Callithrix jacchus: one gene and its partners. The protein of the gene in region 1 purifies or fractionates together with the protein of each later gene. This does not show direct contact. Links are inferred from orthologs where the notes say so. Each region holds a gene or a part of one and is shown on either strand. Other genes may lie near its edges.

Region 1 (4,439 bases):
ACGATGTTCGCCATGTTGCCCAGGCTAGTCTGGAACTTCTGGGCTCAAACAATTCGCCCGCCTTGGCCTCCCAAAGCGCTGGAATTACAGGCACGAGCCACTGTGCCCGGCCAGGCTGCTGTTTCTTTACCTGAACAGCTTTAGCCTTACAGGCATTCCCTTCCACTAGATAAGATGAACTGAGATGCTCAATCATGTAATGACCCTCTCTTCCTGACAGCATCTAATCCAGAGAAGCCCACACTTCCTTAAACCCTCTTCCGAATCATTAACTGTTACCCAGATGCCCCATCGTTCCTCAATGTGTGTTTTCAGTCACTGCAACTAGTAATAAACCCAGTTTGTTCAACGATCCGTGTGTTCCTGGTGGGATTTGGTTAAAGGGCATTGACAACCCTAAGTGGAGGCTGAGTTCACTAGAAGTCTCCGCTTGTGTGTTCCTTCTTAGCCACTATCACTCTTTTGGTTAATGTCTGTCGTCCCTCTACCAGAATTAAGCTCCATGAGAACAAGAGCCTTGTCTGTCATGTTCAGAGCTGATTCTCAGTGCCTAGAGCGGTACGAAGCAGAAGCTGGATGCTTAAAAAATAACCATTTCTGGGTCGGGCGCGGTGGCTCAAGCCTGTAATCCCAGCACTTTGGGAGGCCGAGGCGGGTGGATCACGAGGTCAAGACATCGAGACCATCCTGGTCAACATGGTGAAACCCCGTCTCTACTAAAAATACAAAAACTTAGCTGGGCATAATGGCGCGTGCCTGTAATCCCAGCTACTCAGGAAGCTGAGGTACCCAGGAGGCGGAGGTTGCGGTGAGCCGAGATCACGCCATGGCACTCCAGCCTGGGTAACATGAGCAAAACTCCGTCTCAAAAAACAAAACAAAACAAAACCATTTCTGAACGAATGAATGAGACGGACTCGATATACGCAGGTTCCCTTTAATCTTGCAGCTCCTTGCAGATTGTATGACATACACACACAGCACCACAGCCCATTTCCCAAAACTCCCTCTTTCCTGAAGAAATCTCCAAACTCTCAGGATGCCCATCTTCTCAGAGCCTCTTCCCTGGGCCAAGCTTCTCTCACTCGCTGGCCCCTTCCCACACCTGAGCCCCAGGCCCATACACCTACCTTCCTAACGCCCCTAGAACCCACCTGTCTCCACCATCTGCCCTTACTACCAGACGCTGGCAGACGGCAGCGCAGCTACCTAAGCGTCGAGTGGGCACTGCGGCATGGACCGCGCATGTGCGGAAATGGGTCGCACACGCAGGACCTCCGACTAGGGAGGAGTTGCCTCGGAGTTTCCGTCCCGGTCTGGGCAGCCTTGGGCTGCCAGGAAGTCAGGAGAGGCTACTAGGAAGTAGAACCTGGGCGCACGGCTTTCTGGGCCATGTAGTCGTGGCGCTCTCGAGGCCCTAATATGAGCACGCTCTTAACTCTTCAGGTTTACACGTCCTACATCCACAGTACAGTGCTACTCTCAGCTCGGAGTTCAGCTTCGGGTGCCTAGAACCAGCGGCCCGGTGTCGGCGGCTCGCTCCCACAACGCACTGCGGGCCGCGGCGCCTGCTGGGAGGTGTAGTTCTTGCTCTGCGTACTGCGTTCGCCGAGGGGGAGGGCGGAGCTGCCGGCGGCCCGGGCGGGCTGGCAGCTAGAGTGGGTGCGATAGCCGCCTACGCCTCTGCCGCCTCCGCCGTCGCCTCCTCCGCCCGGGCCGTTCGCTGCTGCGCGGGGAGAGCGAGGCGGGGCCGCCGGGCCGCCATGGAGCCCGACTCGGTGATTGAGGACAAGACCATCGAGCTCATGGTGAGTGCGGCCCACTGGACCGTCTGTGCTTCCGTCCGTCCGGCCCCGGACTGGCCTGCCCACTTCAACGTCCGGTGCGAGGCCGGCTCTGGCCCTTCCCCGCGGTCTCGGCCCAGACCCGGGCCCCTAGCCTTCTCTGGCTTCGGACTCGGCTCGGGTTCCTCCGATCTCTCGACATCTCAGGCCGGTCCTGGCCCGGCCCCTTCCATGCCCCTCGCTCGCTTCTCCCCCTCCCCCTGTCCCGTCTCCGGTCCCAGCTCTCGGACGACCCTCGCTCGTTTTTGCTGTAGAGTTAGGTCTCACTCGCTCTAGCACCCCATTCTCCTTCTTTTAGAAGGGGATTTTTTTTTTTTTTCTTTACTCTGTGTCTCCGGCCCAGGCCCGCACTGCGCTTGCAAGCCCCACTCAGGCCGAGTGTGGTGGTGGGAAGGAGTAGGGAGGAGATCGGTCGGGGCCGCCTGGGCCTCGGTGTCCTAGGAGGGGTTTCAGCACCCACTCCCCAGCCTAGGTCTGTGTGGATGCCAGGATAGGCCCTGCAGAGCTGGGGGGCAGGGAGCTCTCGGGTTTGAGGCTGTGGCGGATAAGGAGGCCTCTTTCCCGGGCCCTTGTGGTGTCCGGCTTCTCGGACAAAGGGTTTCCTACCCGGCGGAGAGGGATGTTTGCATAGCAAAGCCCCAGGTACTCTGGATTCCATACCCCAGGAAAGAGAAGCCGCAACTTCACGTTTTCCAGAGCTGCTTTCGGAAATTGGGGATGATGGGGGAGGGAACCATCCTCATCACTGCCGGGAGTTCTTTCTTCTCAGAAAGAAAAAAAAAAAAAAAAAAAAAAAAAAAAGGGGAATCCTTGGCCCCCGGGGGAAACGACCACTCTTCTGTTAGAAACCGATGGCAGCCAGGCCAGACTCCCCGGTCCGTGGACACCCTCTACCCTCTTCCGAAGCTTTAGGATTTGAAGCCAGAAGGGGTTTTTAGGAACAGGACCGTGAGAGAGTGGCTAGAAGTGAAGAATTTGCTAATTGGTGGATGATTTGGTGGAAGAAATAAAATATGGCAGATATTACCTGCCAATTTGAACATGAGGGAAATCAAACTGGGCTCTGGAGAGTTGGGAAGAGGAAGTCTGCATGAGCAAACGGACGTGTCCAGGATTTCTTTCTGTGGAAGCCTTGACAGTTTCTTTGTATCTGCCCTAACACGGTAACAATTTCCCCTTGGTTGAGAGGAGAGGTGGAAGAATCTACTTAACCCAGCAAAATGTTTTCCTAGCCAGATTTTCTTCAGTGTGAAAATGTTTATTGAGTCAGTGATTCCACTGGGTAGGGTTGGTGACATCAGAGCCACTTCCCCCATTTAACGCTATAAATAATAAATGGTGACACTGAAAGTCTGTTGGATAGCTGCATGGTTTCTGTGGATGATGGTATCTGGGGAGTGGAGATACTTGTTTTAAAAATGGAAGTACAGTAGCATAAATATGGAGGCAGCTTAATGTTTGCTGTCCTTTGCGTAATTCACAGAACTGGACTTCTCTAGCATTCTTGAAAACTAGGAGGAAAAAAAGGGAAACTGATAGTTTTTGATTTTTGTATGCATGTGTGTGTGCACGTGTGGTTGTTTTCAAAGGGATAATGTCACATGCTGAGTAATTTTTCCTTTTCAGCATAATTTATCATACTTGTAGTCAGTGTTTGCTATTCTGTAACTTTTGTAGTGGGTTATTTTGCTAAATATCTTAAATCGACTAAGTATATTACATATTCTTAAGAATGTTCATACAATACCTGTACTTACAACAGAAGTACTTCATATCGAAAAATTGTAACTTGGTGCCTCTTTGAAATTGGCTGTTCCCAGCTCCTTCTGTTTCTATTCTTTTTAAAAATAACTAAAATGTCTTTATTGTCAAAAGAATTGGGAGAAATACATTGTAACCCACATCAGTGTATGGTTACAAAATAAAAAAAATAAAAACCTTTGGCCTAAATGCATTGGCTTCCTATGTTTGTAACTTAAGTTTTGATTTGACATGATAGCACTTGGTTTTGATCTGAAAAGAGATTTCAGCCTGTTAAGGACATTATAAACGGGGATTTAAACTGGAATTCTTAGAAAATTTAATGGAGAGTTTAGTTATATTATGATTAATTTAAAAATGGGTTTTTATTTAAGGATTTTGATATTCCCTGAAAGGGATACCATTTGACTTTTAGACAGCCCTTATTGTAAATTAAGTTTATGTATTTATTTTAGTAAAATAGCAAAGGTGCTTAACAACTGATTAAGTAAATCCAGGATCAAATGTAGGAATGATAATGCCTTAGAATCTAATTGCATGTGGCTTTCTGTTTTCACTACATTTAAATGACAGTTTCCAGAACTGGGTTAAAAATGTTTTTTACATTGGTTTCAAAATAATACGATTGATAGAGATGGGGTTAAAATGATGGTGTTGTAAAAAAAAATGACCTTAGCATGAAATATTTTTAGATTTTTATGAGTCAACTTGAGTACTCAAATATTTGTGATTGTGCTGCTTGTACCAGTTTGGCACTTAATGGTTAACAAGATAACTTTCATTTTGTATTCCAAAATGTGCTGTACTAGAAAGAGGAAACAGACTTCTTGGTTA
Region 2 (3,657 bases), on another chromosome or scaffold:
GTGAGGGCTGCAGTGGGAGACTTAGTACTCAAATGCTGGGGGTGAGGGCTGCAGTGGGAGGCTTAGTACTCAAATGCTGGGGGTGAGGGCTGCAGTGGGAGGCTTAGTACTCAAATGCTGGGGGTGAGGGCTGCAGTGGGAGGCTTAGTACTCAAATGCTGGGGGTGAGAGCTACAGTGGGAGGCTTAGTACTCAAATGCTGGGGGTGAGGGCTGCAGTGGGAGACTTAGTACTCAAATGCTGGGGGTGAGGGCCACAGTAGGAGGCTTAGTACTCAAATGCTGGGTCACACTCGCAGAGCTGAGGGTGAGAGCTGCAGTGGGAGACTTAGTACTCAAATGCTGGGGGTGAGGGCCACAGTAGGAGGCTTAGTGCTCAAATGCTGGGTCAGACCCGCAGAGCTGAGGGTGACAGCCAGAGTGGGAGGCTTAGTGCCTGCTCACATGCTCCCGCCCTCTTTTCTTCTCCAAAGTCTGTGTGATTAAGATCTTTACAGTTTGAAAAAGGAAGGCACCAGGTGACCTGGGTATTGATATCTGACCAACAAAGGTAATTGCATGAAGATGAGCTGTTCACCTCACAAAATCAGAGTGAATTTCAGAAAGTCCAAACACACATGCACACAGACACCCAGACCACTGAAAGCAGCAGGTCCTTCCAGCAGACAAGCCATAAGACCCACAGGTCACAAAAACGCCAAGGCTCCAGCAGGGCAGGGCTCTCAGTGTGGCTCTGCCGTGCGCCTGGGACCACTCCTCCTCCTCGGCCAGCAACACTCACAGCAAGGAAATCCCCAGACTCTTCCAACACCACCCCTGTCATTTTTTTTTTTTTTTAAGACAGAGTCTTGCTCTGTTGCCCAGGCTAGAATCCAGTGATGCGATCATGGCTCACTGCAGTCTCCACCTCCTGGGCTCAAGCAATCCTCCCACCTCAGCCTCCCACAGTGCTGGGATTATAGGCTTGAGCCGCTGCACCTGGCCTGAACCCCACTTCTGACTGGCAATAAGAGGCCTTTCTGACAGCTGCAGCTCAGGGCATGAAGCTTCAAGGTTCAGAGCCTCTGGCCTCTGTGGGGGGTGGGGGGTGGCATGTCACATACCTGTATACGTCATGCTTGGTGTCGAAGAGCCGGCTCTTCTCCCTGATGCGCTCTGGAGGGAGGTAGGCGATGGTGCCGAACAGGCCGTCCATGCTGAGGTCGTGTGAGTGGGACAACCCGTTGCACTTGGCCAGCCCAAAATCAGAGATCTGCAACACAGCCATGGAGCGGGGCTCGTTAGCCCCCAGCGTGATGCTTTGATGCATTATCAAAAGCTCCCTTTGGCAATCCCAGAGGGTGGGTGGGAGCTTTCCAGGAGCGCCGAGAGCCCACCCCGTGCCTCTCCAGGCAGCCCTGCGCCAGGCATGGAGGGGCAGATTCTGGGGCAGAAGCAAGCCTGGAGGCTTTGGTTAAAGGATCAGGCTGTAAGGAAGGAATCCTCTGGAACAGAACTCGGAAGAATTCGAATCCACCTTCTATAAGGCATCGTGTTTGCCACTGTGGTGACGGCCAGTTGGCATAAAGGGGAACAGGCACGCCTTAGAGGGTTCAGGCAGACAGCAGCGCATGTGAAGATCAGGTCTGCTCCTAGAGAAGCCGGGGAGCCGGTTGTGAAACCTGCCAGCTGGGAAGGCTGGCGGGCAAGTGGCTGCAAGTCCTTTAAAGGGAAACACACCTTCAGAAGCCCTTTAAACTTGAAAGCAAACAAAACTCACGCCTGGCAGCCCCATCCATCTAGGGTGTTTTGTGAGCAGCAGACACTGGCTGGCTGCTTCAAACACATGCATTCAAGTGAAGGTCTGCTAGCCCAGGCCCCGGGGAGCACCGGCCACCAGCTCCTCCAGGAACGCCCTCGGCATCTGCACTCGGGGGAGGCAGGCCTCAGGTCTCCTTCCAGCAAAGGTGCCCTTGGAGCTCACTAGATGCCCCTTCCCCAGGCTGACCTCTCTGTGGGGGATGGGAGCGTCCCCTTCCCTCTCCAGTGTAACTCAGACCGGTTTGAAGCTGCTGAAGACAGTGTGTGGGAGAAGCCACAGCTCATTAGCATTAATGGGACTCCGGATCCAGGGGGAGCACCGCTCTCAACTCTCCTTTAAGGCATACGGATTTTTTGTAAAAACCTTTTCATTAACTCCTGGGCTCCTCTCAGACACACCCATGGAGTGACAGGAAATGAGGCTGAGTCAGGCCTTCATTCTGGGCTGGCTGTGCCCAAGCGGTGAGCCAATGGGGCTGCTGTCATCAGCACAGCAGGGAGACTATGACTGGGCTTCCAAGATCCTGAGCACACCCACATGGAGTGGGGGGAGGCCTGCGGGAAAGGCCTGCGAGAAGAGACTGCAGGGAGTGGGGGAGGCCTGCAGGGGAGGCCTTCGAGAAGAGACCGCAGGGACTGGGGAGAGGCCTGCAGGGGAGGCCTTCGAGAAGAGACCGCAGGGACTGGGGAGAGGCCTGCAGGGGAGGCCTTCGAGAAGAGACCGCAGGGACTGGGGAGAGGCCTGCAGGGGAGGCCTTCGAGAAGAGACCACAGGGAGTGGGGGGAGGCCTGCAGGGGAGGCCTTCAAGAAGAGACTGCAGGGAGTGGGGGAGGCCTGAGAGAAGAGACCGGAGGGAGTGGGGGGAGGCCTGTGGGGGAGACCTGCAAGAAGAGACTGGCCTCCTCTGCAGCCAGCAGCACCAGGACAAGGCCCCGACTCCCAGCGTCTCTCATTTCCTCTCACTTCTGTTGGTCCCAGGGCCTTCAGGCCTGCACCGCCCTCAAGAGCCACACTCCTTCACCCCAGGGAAAGCACCAGCTCCCCAGAACACCACCATCACCTGATCCTGTAAACCTGGATGGCAGCCAGACACTGGGACACAATCATGTGTCCTAACTCTCAAAATAAGCTCAAGAGCGCAGGAAGCTTCAGTTCAACCGTCATCAGCGACTTCAGAGGTTTCAAATTCAGAAATGAGTTGAACAATGAGAACACAAGGACACAGGGAGGGGAACATCACACACGGGCCCTGCTGAGATGTGCGGGGGAGGGCAGGGAGAGCGTCAGGACAAACACCTAATGCATGCAGGGCTTAAAACCTAGACGATGACCGAGAGGGCTGATGGGCACAGCAACCCACCGTGGCACACGCACACCTGTGTGACAAACCTGCACATTCTGCACACGTACCTGAAACTAAGAGTAAAGAAAGCATCACACGCTTTCCAGGCAATTCCTTCTCCCCTTGTATGGTTGACTGCAGGAGAAAAGTATCTCCCTCCCACCGTCAGCTAAGGATCAGACTCGCTGTTCTAATCTTGCCTGTACAAGTTAGAGTTCTGTGGGCCTGGACGATTAGCCTCTCTGTGCCTGTTTCCTTTTTTCATAAAAGGAGGCAATAAAAGTAGCTTTGTTGTGAAAATAAAATGAGATCTAGTATCATTTTAAAAAGAAGAAGAAAAGAAAAGGAAGACATGAGAGGGACTGAGGCGCAGAGGTCTCAGCCTTTTCTCCTCCTCCGTGTCTTTGTCAGAAAGAGCCAGCCCCTCCAAACCATACTTGGTGAAAAGAAAACCAGGCGAAATTCTCTGTGAAACCTCTGGCAACAGAATGCAAGCTCGGAATTGAGAATTCTGG
Region 3 (3,657 bases), on another chromosome or scaffold:
CTAGTTGGCTGTGGTTCCCAAAGATGTGTCCAGTGACTGAAGCTTGAGTCTGTGACAACCTCTGGGTAGGCTTCCACACCCCTGGGGTTATCTCTCTGAGGCTGGGCCTGGGTCAAGCTGATGGGAGGAGGGGTCAGAGGCTGCTGTGATTGGCCTTGACTCTGCCTGGTGGTTTAGCTCTGCCCTTGCTTAACCTCCAAGAGCTAGGAAAGAACAGTACAAATGGGATGTGACATGATTCAGTGGAGCTGGGAGAGGGGAGGGCCCTGCTCCCACCTCCCTTTGGCCACTGGTTGGCAAATGGCTATAGTTCAAGGTCTCTCTGATGAGGGACTTGGGACCAAGGCCCTGCGGTGGAACAGCCTCTGCTGGCACAATTATCTCATGACCTGTCATTTCTATTGACAGCAGAATGGCCTCCCCTACCAGTTTAACTCGTGGTTTAGGGGGCACTTTTTGTTGTTCTTTAACCTTGTAGAGTGTGGAGCTACTGTAGTGTGTCATAAGCCTGGGGGTTTGGGAATAGCAGTAGAAATTGGCGTCAGATGGGTGAGAATCCACAGGGCATAGCAGAACCCCAGCTCTGGGGGCCCATGGGTGACTTCTGTGACCTTGAGCCCCTGCAGAGCTTTCCCTGCAGTTCTGCCTTCGAGATGCTTGAAAGAGGTTTTATTGACCACTGATCACATGGTGAGTGCTCTGCAAGGCCTCTAGGGGTGTGTGCGTGTGTGTGCACATGCACACTGTGTATGGGTTGGCATTGAGTTGACTTTCCTAAGGGTATGTTCCTGGGCCAGAGGTGAAACTTCAACACTTGACTGGTTGAGTTGGTCTGCCAGATGACCTGACAGAGGGGACAAGACATTCTAGGCAAAAAACAACACATGCCAAGATTGCTTTTATTTATTTTGATACAGGGTCTTTGCTCTGTTGCCCAGGCTGGTGGCGCAATCTCTGCTTACTGCAACCTCTGCCTCCTGGGTTCAAGAGATTCTCTCAACCTCAGCCTCCCAGGTAGCTAGGACTACAAGTGTGTGTCACCACACCTGGTTAATTTTTATATTTTTAGTAGAGACAGGGTTTCACCATGTTGGCCAGGCTGGTCTCGAACTCCTGACCTCAGGTGATCTGCCTGTCTTGGCCTCCCAAAGTGCTGGGATTACAGGCGTGAGCCACTGTGCCTGGCCTTGCACTGGGCTCTTGATGTGTGCTGTCATACTCAATCCTCATGACGGATAAGGAAACCGAGGCTAAGAGTCATTCACTGTCTAAGGCCAGGAACCAAATAATGACAGTTGGCCATGGTATGGGGGGTTAGTTAGCCCTTGGGTGGCAGGGAGGCTGGCTAGCACATCATGGCGTGGAAACATCCTGAGAAAGTATAGTGGAGAAAAAGGATTTGAAGTTGACAGCTTGCTGGCTGGAGAGAGGGGGACCAGGCTCTTCTCTCAAGAAAGCTCCCTGGCTTTCTGCTAACGTGGCCTTCCTGGGTGTGGCGTCAAGTCTTGCGTAACTGGACTGTGGTCTTGGATGCACTAAGAGTAAGAGTGATCAGTCAGAGGAGCAGGTCACTGTGGGCCTGAGAACTCAGGAAAGGCTTCTGAGGGACTGAGGCTTGAGTTTTTGCTTGTAACAGCATCACTTTTTTATTTTGTTTTTTTGAGACAGAATCTCCCTCTGTCATCCAGGCTCAAGTGCAGCTGTGCGATCTTGGCTTACTGCAACCTCCACCTCCCTGGTTCAGGCAGTTCTACCTCAGCCTCCCAAGTAGCTGGGATCACAGGAGCACGCTCAGCTAATTTTTTTGTATTTTTAGCAGAGACAGGGTTTCACCGTGTTGGCCAGACTGGTCTCAGATTCCTGACCTCAGGCAGTCTGCCTGCCTTGGCCTCCTAAAGTGCTGGGATTACAGGCGTGAGCCACTGCACCCAGCCAAGCGTGCACTTTTAAAAACAGCCAGTTTATTGAGACAGGTGGTTTGCATGTATTCTCATTTCAGCTCTATGAGATAGATGTATTTTCCTCATTTTGCAGATGAGGAAACTGATGTTCTGAGTGTAGTACTTTGCCCTTGCACCCAGCAGGTAGAAGAGGGGCTGGACTCCAGGCTATGGGACACTGTCCCCTGCTCTGATGCCTCATGGTCTTTCCTCCCTCTCCAGCTTATCACTCAGACTTTCAGCCACCACAATCAGCTGGCACAGAAGGCCCGGCGGGAGAAGAGAGCCCGGCAGGAGGCTGAGCGGCAGGAGAAGGCGGAGCGGGCGGCCAGGCTGGCCAAAGAAGCCAAGTCAGAGACCTCAGGGCCCCAGATCAAGGAGCTAACTGATGAAGAGGCAGAGAGGCTGCAGCTAGAGATTGACCAGGTGAAGGGTGGGCTTCCCTCCTCCATTCCTCAGATCCCCACTGGCACTGAGCAGTGAGGTCCTGTTGCCAACTGCTGTGTTCTTTGCCCCAGAAAAAGGATGCAGAGACTTATGAGGCCCAGCTCAAGAACGGCAGCCTTGACTCCCCAGGGAAGCAGGTGAGATGGACTGGAGGCACTTGGGATGAGACAGGAGTTTGGAACTTCCAGAGAATCTCCTGTCTACTACCTTCTCTGGAATACCCTTCCTTATCCTATCCCCTCCCCTCCTGGCTTTGGGAATCTTCCCCATACTTTAAGATTACACTCAGAGACATTGAAACAAAGGATCCAGGTTAAAAAAAAAAAAACAAAAAAAACCCCTTGACCTTAACCCATTTATGGCAGGAAAACCCAAGAGCCAGAGAGGGCAGTGCCTGTTACAGGTCCCATCTGAGGTTGCCTGGGTTCTGTGGGCCCAGCCATATCCTTTGTCACATGGTATAATAGTCTGAGCTCCTCTCAGGCAGAGATCAGAACTAAGTTTTACCTGGTTCCCAGTGGACCAATGCTTGGGGATCTGCCTCTCTGTGGAGTGGGCAGGGACCAGGTCTTTTTTGTTTTGTGGCTGTATGCCCAGTGCTAGCTCTGGGCTTGGCCCAGTGAGGTGGGTTCATTCTGTATCTGTTCATGTCTGTCAGGTAAGTAGCTAAGTGTCCCTGATTGTAAGCAGGAGACTGAGGAAGATAATGAGGAGGAAGACGAGAAGGACAAAGGAAAACTGAAGCCCAATCTAGGCAATGGGGCAGACCTGCCCAATTACCGTTGGACCCAGACCCTGTCGGAACTGGACGTGAGTGTCAGGGACCAGAGGTAAAGCTTAGGGAGCCAGCCTGGGGTGCTGGCAGCACTTGGTGGCCCCTCCTGACTGCCTCTGCCCTATGCAGCTGGCAGTCCCTTTCCGTGTGAACTTCCGGCTGAAAGGGAAGGACGTCGTGGTGGATATCCAGCGGCGGCACCTCCAGGTGGGGCTCAAGGGGCAGCCAGCGATCATCAGTGGGGAGCTCTACAACGAAGTGAAGGTGGAGGAGAGCTCATGGCTCATTGAGGATGGCAAGGTGGTGACTGTGCACCTGGAGAAGGTATGTGAGGCCCAGCTCTTTTGGCCTCCCTTCTTTTGGAAGAAGGGAGGATGTGTGCTTATTTTACTCTGGAGCCATGCTGGAGGCATTCTGGAATTATCTTACTTAATTCCCATGACAACACTCTTTGAAGTAGGTCTGTCCCTATTTTTTTTTTTTTTTTTTTTTTCC

The links. The genes of interacting proteins can lie anywhere in the genome.
Region 2: the proteins of FBXW11 (region 1) and RIPK4 purify together in Homo sapiens (affinity purification with mass spectrometry; 4 studies listed by BioGRID, with this or other methods). This does not show direct contact. The link is inferred for Callithrix jacchus from reciprocal best matches to the Homo sapiens genes FBXW11 and RIPK4.
Region 3: the proteins of FBXW11 (region 1) and NUDC purify together in Homo sapiens (affinity purification with mass spectrometry; 5 studies listed by BioGRID and IntAct, counting the BioPlex papers as one, with this or other methods). This does not show direct contact. The link is inferred for Callithrix jacchus from reciprocal best matches to the Homo sapiens genes FBXW11 and NUDC.

What each region holds. Positions count from the first base shown.
Region 1 is NC_133503.1:64,279,035-64,283,473, reverse strand, and holds the start of FBXW11 (F-box/WD repeat-containing protein 11), read left to right. Parts: upstream 1-1,628; 5' UTR 1,629-1,763; coding exon 1,764-1,808; intron 1,809-4,439.
Region 2 is NC_133522.1:47,550,959-47,554,615, forward strand, and holds part of RIPK4 (receptor-interacting serine/threonine-protein kinase 4), read right to left. Parts: intron 1,252-3,657; coding exon 1,103-1,251; intron 1-1,102.
Region 3 is NC_133508.1:63,593,577-63,597,233, forward strand, and holds part of NUDC (nuclear migration protein nudC), read left to right. Parts: intron 1-2,162; coding exon 2,163-2,366; intron 2,367-2,458; coding exon 2,459-2,524; intron 2,525-3,077; coding exon 3,078-3,197; intron 3,198-3,291; coding exon 3,292-3,486; intron 3,487-3,657. UniProt on the Homo sapiens protein: Plays a role in neurogenesis and neuronal migration. Necessary for correct formation of mitotic spindles and chromosome separation during mitosis. Necessary for cytokinesis and cell proliferation.